Linked DNA regions of Stegostoma tigrinum. The protein of the gene in region 2 purifies or fractionates together with the protein of the main gene of each other region. This does not show direct contact. Links are inferred from orthologs where the notes say so. Each region holds a gene or a part of one and is shown on either strand. Other genes may lie near its edges.

The links.
Region 1: the proteins of ift140 (region 2) and wdr19 purify together in Homo sapiens (co-immunoprecipitation; 3 studies listed by BioGRID and IntAct, with this or other methods). This does not show direct contact. The link is inferred for Stegostoma tigrinum from reciprocal best matches to the Homo sapiens genes IFT140 and WDR19.

What each region holds. Positions count from the first base shown.
Region 1 is NC_081354.1:98,068,962-98,072,713, forward strand, and holds the start of wdr19 (WD repeat-containing protein 19), read left to right. Parts: upstream 1-1,555; 5' UTR 1,556-1,631; coding exon 1,632-1,637; intron 1,638-3,752. UniProt on the Homo sapiens protein: As component of the IFT complex A (IFT-A), a complex required for retrograde ciliary transport and entry into cilia of G protein-coupled receptors (GPCRs), it is involved in cilia function and/or assembly.
Region 2 is NC_081376.1:31,776,184-31,779,935, reverse strand, and holds the start of ift140 (intraflagellar transport protein 140 homolog), read right to left. Parts: upstream 2,654-3,752; 5' UTR 2,485-2,653; intron 1,665-2,484; 5' UTR 1,643-1,664; coding exon 1,490-1,642; intron 1-1,489. Other genes in the region: decr2 (peroxisomal 2,4-dienoyl-CoA reductase [(3E)-enoyl-CoA-producing]), read left to right, coding at 2,967-3,046, 3,470-3,538. UniProt on the Homo sapiens protein: Component of the IFT complex A (IFT-A), a complex required for retrograde ciliary transport and entry into cilia of G protein-coupled receptors (GPCRs).

The DNA of each region.
Region 1 (3,752 bases), on a different chromosome or scaffold from region 2:
CGGGTACAATGGATGCAGTATACCACATTGGCAGATGTGCAGGTGAACCTCTGCTTAATGTGGAATGTCATCTTGGGGCCTGGGATGGGGGTGAGGGACGAGGTGTGGGGGCAAGTGTAGCATTTCCTGCGGTTGCAGGGGAAGGTGCCGGGTGTGGTGGAGTTGGAGGGCAGTGTGGAGCGAACAAGGGAGTCACGGAGAGAGTGGTCTCTCCGGAAAGCAGACAGGGGTGGGGATGGAAAAATGTCTTGGGTGGTGGGGTCGGATTGTAGATGGCAGAAGTGTCGGAGGATGATGCGTTGTATCCGGAGGTTGGTGGGGTGGTGTGTAAGAATGAGGGGGATCCTCTTTGGGCAGTTGTGGCAGGGGCGGGGTGTGAGGGATGTGTTGCGGGAAATGCGGGAGACGCGGTCAAGGGCGTTCTCGACCACTGTGGGGGGAAAGTTGCGGTCCTTGAAGAACTTGGACATCTGGGATGTGTGGGAGTGGAATGCCTCATCGTGGGAGCTGATGCGGCGGAGGCGGAGGAATTGGGAATAGGGGATGGAATTTTTGCAGGAGAGTGGGTGGGAGAAGGTGTATTCTAGGTAGCTGTGGGAGTCGGTGGGCTTGAAATGGACATCAGTTACAAGCTGGTTGCCTGAGATGGAGACTGAGAGGTCCAGGAAGGTGAGGGATGTGCTGGAGATGGCCCAGGTGAACTGAAGGTTGGGGTGGAAGGTGTTGGTGAAGTGGATGAACTGTTCGAGCTCCTCTGGGGAGCAAGAGGCGGCGCCGATACAGTCATCAATGTACCGGAGGAAGAGGTGGGGTTTGGGGCCTGTGTAGGTGCAGAAGAGGGACCGTTCCACGTAACCTACAAAGAGGCAGGCATAGCTGGGGCCCATGCGGGTGCCCATGGCCACCCCCTTAGTCTGTAGGAAGTGGGAGGAGTCAAAAGAGAAGTTGTTGAGTGTGAGGACGAGTTCGGCTAGACGGATGAGGGTGTCGGTGGAGGGGGACTGGTCGGGCCTGCGGGACAGGAAGAAGCGGAGGGCCTTGAGGCCATCTCCATGCGGAATACAGGTGTATAGGGACTGGACGTCCATGGTGAAGATGAGGTGTTGGGGGCCAGGGAATTGGAAGTCCTGGAGGAGGTGGAGGGCATGGGTGGTGTCATGGATGTAGGTGGGGAGTTCCTGGACCAAAGGGGAGAAAATGGAGTCCAGATAGGTGGAGATGAGTTCGGTGGGGCAGGAGCAGGCTGAGACGATGGGTCGACCAGGGCAGGCAGGTTTGTGGATTTTGGGAAGGAGATAGAAACGGGCAGTGCGGTGTTCTGTGGCCTTTATCTCCACGGACTGTGACCTGTTGATACCTTTCGGCTTTTTGTTTTGATTTAGATTAGTAGTCATGGAGATTTCTTTTAAACAAGCAGCCCCAGGTTGACAGTAAATTCATGGTCCTCCAGGCTTTCTCACTGGGACTGAGCCTGCAAAGAAACACGGTGATGGCGCATGCCGACGGTTACCATGGCTACCAGACGCCCTACCGCGTTGCACTACGGGAAGAGGACGCATTGCTGCGCGTGCGCATTTGGTCAGCGCGGCCACACTTGGGGAAGCTAGAGGCTGAAGGAAATAAAGAGAAAGATGAAGGTGAGAGAGGAAGTGCAGGTGGAGGCTGCTCCGGTATCATCAAGTCTTCGGGTTGAGGAGAGAGAGATGTATTCGCGTTAACAATTTTCGGTTTTGTTACTTAGCGCCGCTGTTGTCGATGGCTTGTGATAACACCGCAATTTGCAAAGGCCTCAGCTCTACTTTGACGGTTACTATGGAAACGGAGTTGGTGGTACAATGGATTGTAGTCCCTGAACCCTCATGACCCAGAAAATATTCCCCCGAGACGTGGGGATATTCTGTCTCCTAGAAAGTATTGTAATTGTACTCTCACTGTGTTCACCACAGATCCATTAATACCAGCTTCCGCTGGATACTGCAAAGGCTGTGGGCCCTGAGAACATTCTGACAATAGTACTTGTGCTCCAGAACTTGCTGTTTGCGTAGCCAAGCAGGTTCAGTTAAGTTACAATGCTGGCACTTGCCTGTCAATGTGAAAAATTGCCCAAGTATGTCTTGTACACCAAAAGCAGGATAAATCCAACCGGGCTAATTGCCTCCCCATTAGTCTACTCTTGATCATGTGGTAAGTGACGGAAGGTAACATTAACAATGTAATCAACCAGCACTTACTTGTCGACCATTTGCTCAGTGATGTCCAATTTGACTTCAAACATGGACAAAACAACTGAATTTCAGGAGTGAAAGTGACAGCCCATGAAATCGAGGCCATGTTTGATAGAGTGTGGTATCAGGAAGCCCTACTAAAATTCAAATCACTGGGAATTAGGAGAAAACTCTCTGTTAATTTGATGCATTCCTTGAACATAGGAAGATGGTCGTGATTGTCAGAGATCAGTCATCTCCGCTCCTGGAAATCTCTGCTGGAGTTCCTCAGTGGTTCCTAGGCCCAACAATCTTTAGCTGCTTCATCGAAAACCTTCCCTCCTCCATCAGGTCAGATGTGGGGATGTTCACCAGTACTTGCACAGTGGCCAGCACCATCATGACTCCTCGGATACTGAAACAGTCCCTGTCCAAATGCATCAAGACCTAGACAGCATTCAGGTTTGGGCAGAAAAAGTGGCAAGTAACATTCATGCCATCACTTGACATTCAATGGAGTCGCCATCACTGATTCCCTCATCCTAGCAGTTACTGTTGACCAGAAACTCAACTGGGCATACCATTATAATTACAGTGGCTACAAGAGCAGGCTGGAGTCTTGGAATACTGCACTAAGTTACTCACCAACTGACTTCTCAAAAATCTTTCCGCCATCTACAAGGCACAAGTCAGGAATGTGACAATACTTCCCACTTGCCTGAATTAGTGTAAATCAAACAACGCAAAAGGTTGACACTATCCATGATAAAACAGCCTGAATGATTGGCACTAAGTCCAGAAACACCTGCTCGATCCACCACCAAAGCTCCGGAGCAGCCATAGAGCATGTTTTGCTAAACATCCTAAGATCACACCTTCCATGGCCACTTTAATCTAGCAGCGTCTAGAGAAAGCAGAGATAACATTTTGGGTCCGGTCACCCTTCCTCAGAACTGATGGTAGCTCAGAAAATGTTGGTATTAATGCAGAAGATGGGATGGGGGGAAGGGAGTAAGGAGTAAATGATAGGTGAGGATAGAGCCCAAAGAGAGAGAAGACAGTTGGACAGACAAAAGAGTAGATAAGGATTTGGCTAGGAGAGTGAATAGCTGTTAATGGAGACTGTTGGTGGCTAACAATGGGTTGTGTGTAATAGCAGACTATGCAGTCACAAGGCCTGGTGCTTTGGTGTGGGGACTAGGACATAGGAGTGTTCAAGACCTACAGTTATTAAACTCGATATTGAGTAGGGCAGGGACCCCAAGCAGAAAATGAATTGTTGTTCATCCAGCTTATGCTGAGCGTTGCTGGAGCACTGCAGCAAGCCTAAGACAGAGATATTGGCCAGGGTACAGGATGATGTGTAGATGTGGCGGGCAACAACTTCTTTCCTCCCCTGTCCCATTCCAACCTATTTTCCCCTGAACTGACTGCATTCTATGTGCTCAGATCCAATCTTGACTTTATTAGCGTGATGCTGTTGTAGTCTGGAGTTCTGGCATTTATGTTGCAGAGGCTGATGCCAGCACTCACATATCTCCTCCTATC
Region 2 (3,752 bases):
ATGTGCCACCTGTAGAATCAGTCATGTTGGTGTGCAAAAGGGGCAGGCCTGGAATATATATTTAGAGTTGTGCTTCATTTTGGACAATAATACATAATCAATAAACCAAGCAAAAATGAATTTCTAAAGAACTGCATTGGTGGGGCAGGGAGTTGAGTAGGGAGTGGGAGGAGGGGAAAAGGTGCAAATATTTACTTTAATTTAATATAGTACTCATATCCAATGGTTCTGGTCCTGTAGGTCAGGTTAATTTTAGATTTTAGAGACCAGAGTCAGTTAGAGTAATATTATAATACAGATGATAATGGTCATATTTTGCAGTTTAATTCATTACAGTATTTCATGAAGGACTGAAACATTACAACATGCCTACATTAGGCACAGGCTTCTCTTCACGCTCACCACTCCCACTGCCTTCAACTGCAGTCATCCAAATAACTACAGTGTTTTTCTCCCAATAGAAAAATAGGACGAAACAGCTCCCAGTGGTGGAAGGGTCAAAAACTAGAAGACACACAAATTTCAGTGACTGGGAAAGTAGCCAAGCATATCATAAATATAAATATTTATTACAAAGCATGTAGTTAGAATCTGGTATATACTGCTTGAGTGCGGTGGAGGCAGAGTCAAACGTTGCTTTCAAAAGAGAATTGGATTAGCACGTGAAGAGAAAAAAATTGTAGAACTACACCTTATTGACAATTACAATGCGGAACCAGTTACAGCTCCAATATCTACAGCAGTTGTTAAAAAGTGTAGAATTACACTGGCAACAATCGTCTTTGTGACCAGTTCCAGACCTCGACGAGCTAAGTTTCGGTAGTAAGACTCTTCCAATTGTCATCTTGGTCGGATTGGATTGCTGCAGGCTGGAAAGTGGGGATGTCATTCTGGTTTGTGATGGTGGGGACATGTTAATATTGAACTTTAATGATGGGGCTGGGGGTAGGGAATGTATTGCCATATTTTATGTGATGGATTTGCAGATGATTTAGTGGTAGGGTATTTTAGTGATGGGGGGCTAGGGTTTGTTTTTAGTGTTTCATTTGTAGGGTGGGTCCCAGCAACTCTTGCTGAAATTTTATTACATTTATAACCTTTCCCAGATCTGTTGTTAGGTCATCGAACTGAAATCTGTTTTTATTCATCACAGATGCTGCCTAACTTGCAGAACTACAGGGAAAGTGTTGGGTTTGAGACTAATTGAACTTCTTCTGCGGAGCGGTGACATGAACATTATACGTTCTCTTTCTGTGCAGAAGCAACAGTATGATTGTACAAACATGAAAAATCCTCTAGAATTTCTACTCCAGTGACATCTGCTAGAACTACACAGTTACATGTCTTCTGCTGATTCAATCAGTAACTTGCTGACATTCATTACTGATGCTGTCAGTGATATGTCTCAGTGTAACTAATGACAAACAAACCAAAGCAAAGGTGACCGACCAGGTCTCCAAGACAGGAGAGAAAATTCCAAGATACCCACCTGCTCAAGATACACATCAACACTGCCTCCTGGAATGCAACTGGTGCTTACAGAGGCCACTGCCAATAATGGGTGGATATGATGCCAAGCAATCTGTGATGGAGAACCGATATTCTCAGGCGCTTCAATACGATGATCAAAGTAAACTGCCATCTCAACACAGTAAGGTAAGCTTCTGTCAGAAGACAATGCAATTTCAATAAAAGCCTGATCAACAATAGATTAAAAATTGTCAGCTTAACTCAATTAAAAAATAGCTTGCAGTATTTTGATAATCCCTGTTCCCTTCTTGACAATTACACTGAGGAACCAGTTACAGCTCCAACTATCTATAGCAAAATTTAAAGAGTGTAGAATCACACTGGCAACAATCTTCCTTGTGACCAGTCCAGGCCTCGACTAGCAAAGTTTTGGGACTAAGGCTCTTCCAACAATCATCTTGGTCAGATTGGATCGCTCAGGCTGGTGGGGACATGTTACTATTGAGCTTTAATGATGGGGCTCAAGGCAGAGCACATGTTGCCATATTTTTGTGATGGATTTGCAGATGATTTAGTGGTAGGGTGTTTTAGTGATGGGCTAGGCGTTTTGAAGTGTTTCAATGGTACGGAGGGTCCCAGCAACTCTCGCTCAAACTTTATTACGTTTATAACCTTTCCCAGTGCTGTTGTTAGGTCATCAACCTGAAGTCTGTTTTTATTCTTCTGTGGGTACAGCTGTGTGATTTGCTTTAGTAATAAATTGGAAGGGGGTGTTGTGTTCCGGGTGCTACCTGTTTGCAGTGTTGGTACCTGAGATTTTTCTGAATGCGCCGATTGATGATCCCGAATATCCCGCCCTGATGTTGAAATTTGCCAATCCAACTGACACATAACGCGACTAAGCTAGTACTGTGCCTCCAGGCTGCGGCCTATCTGCAACTACAACTCCGCATTATCCACTTGAAAAAAACTGGTGCCTCCCCTCGATCCGTGGGTGACTGAAAGCGGCGTTACCTGCAGAACAACGGGTGCTGGCCGTCCTCTTGCACGTTTTTCCTGGTGTTAGCTCCGATTCAAGATCGCTTTAGCGTACCTGCAGTTGCCGTAACAACCGGCGAGAGCGGAAGCGACACTTACATGCCGAAAAATGCCGATCATATCGAAAATACACGAGGGTTGATCCGATTAAATGGCATTGTGGGAAATGTAGTTTTGCCTGAGAGCTGCCTGAAGGAGGCGCATGCTCAGTACTAATTGGGGGCTGTGGCCGGGGGACGGGGGAGTTTTAGGCGGTATTTTGACTCTGTGACCAGGGCCCTGAAAAGGAGTCTGGGTCAGAGTTCATCTGGACCTGTTTTAGGAACTCCCTCCAGAAATTATCTCTAGAGTTTGTGAAAACTCTGTTTTTTGGAGTCCGTGTAGGAGCTTCACTTCCTTCCCCAAAATAAGGCAGAACGAAGATTAAAACTGATTCCTAAGAAATAATCACGTCTGTCATGGGCAACAGTCCTCAGGAAGTGGATACTGATGATTGTTTGTTGAACTATTCGTATATATTCAGCCATGACATACTGAAGTAAGAGATGGTAGGAACTGCAGATTCTGAGATAACAAGGTGCAGACCTGGATGAACACAACAGGCCAAGAAGCGTCAGTGGAGCACGAAGGCTGACGTTTCGGGCCTAGACCCGAAACGTCAGCCTTCGTGTTCCTCTGATGCTGCTGGGCTTGCCGTGTTCATCCAGCTCCACACCTTGTTTCCTCAGATACTGAAGTAAGCCGTGTTATATTTTCAATGTGTAATCTGCGGTGAGTGACAGTGAGTTATGTTTAAAGGATCCCTTTTGCTTGCAAATGTTCTTTGGAACAGTATTTTTCGTACGCTTTGATTACATTAGGAGGGGCACGCGACTGCTGTGATGGGAGGTGTAATTGTACTTACTGCTTTTAATAAAGTAATAAATAATTATTAGTGTTAACCTCTTACATCTCTGAATAGGGACAAAGTGGCATTCATCACAGGAGGAGGATCTGGCATTGGATTCCGAATTGCAGAGATACTGATGAGGTAGGGCAGCAGCTGCAGTATGGGCAAATGTGTACTTGAATAGAACTTCATGAGCTTCTGGTGATGGTATAAGTGATGAGAACAAAAACAAAGTTGCTCCAAAAGCTCAGCAGGCCTGGCAGCATCTGTGAAGGAGAAAACAGAGTTAACATTTTGGGTCTGGTGACCCTTCCTCGGAACCCAGTTCGTGACTAATCTATCAGAGTGAGCAACT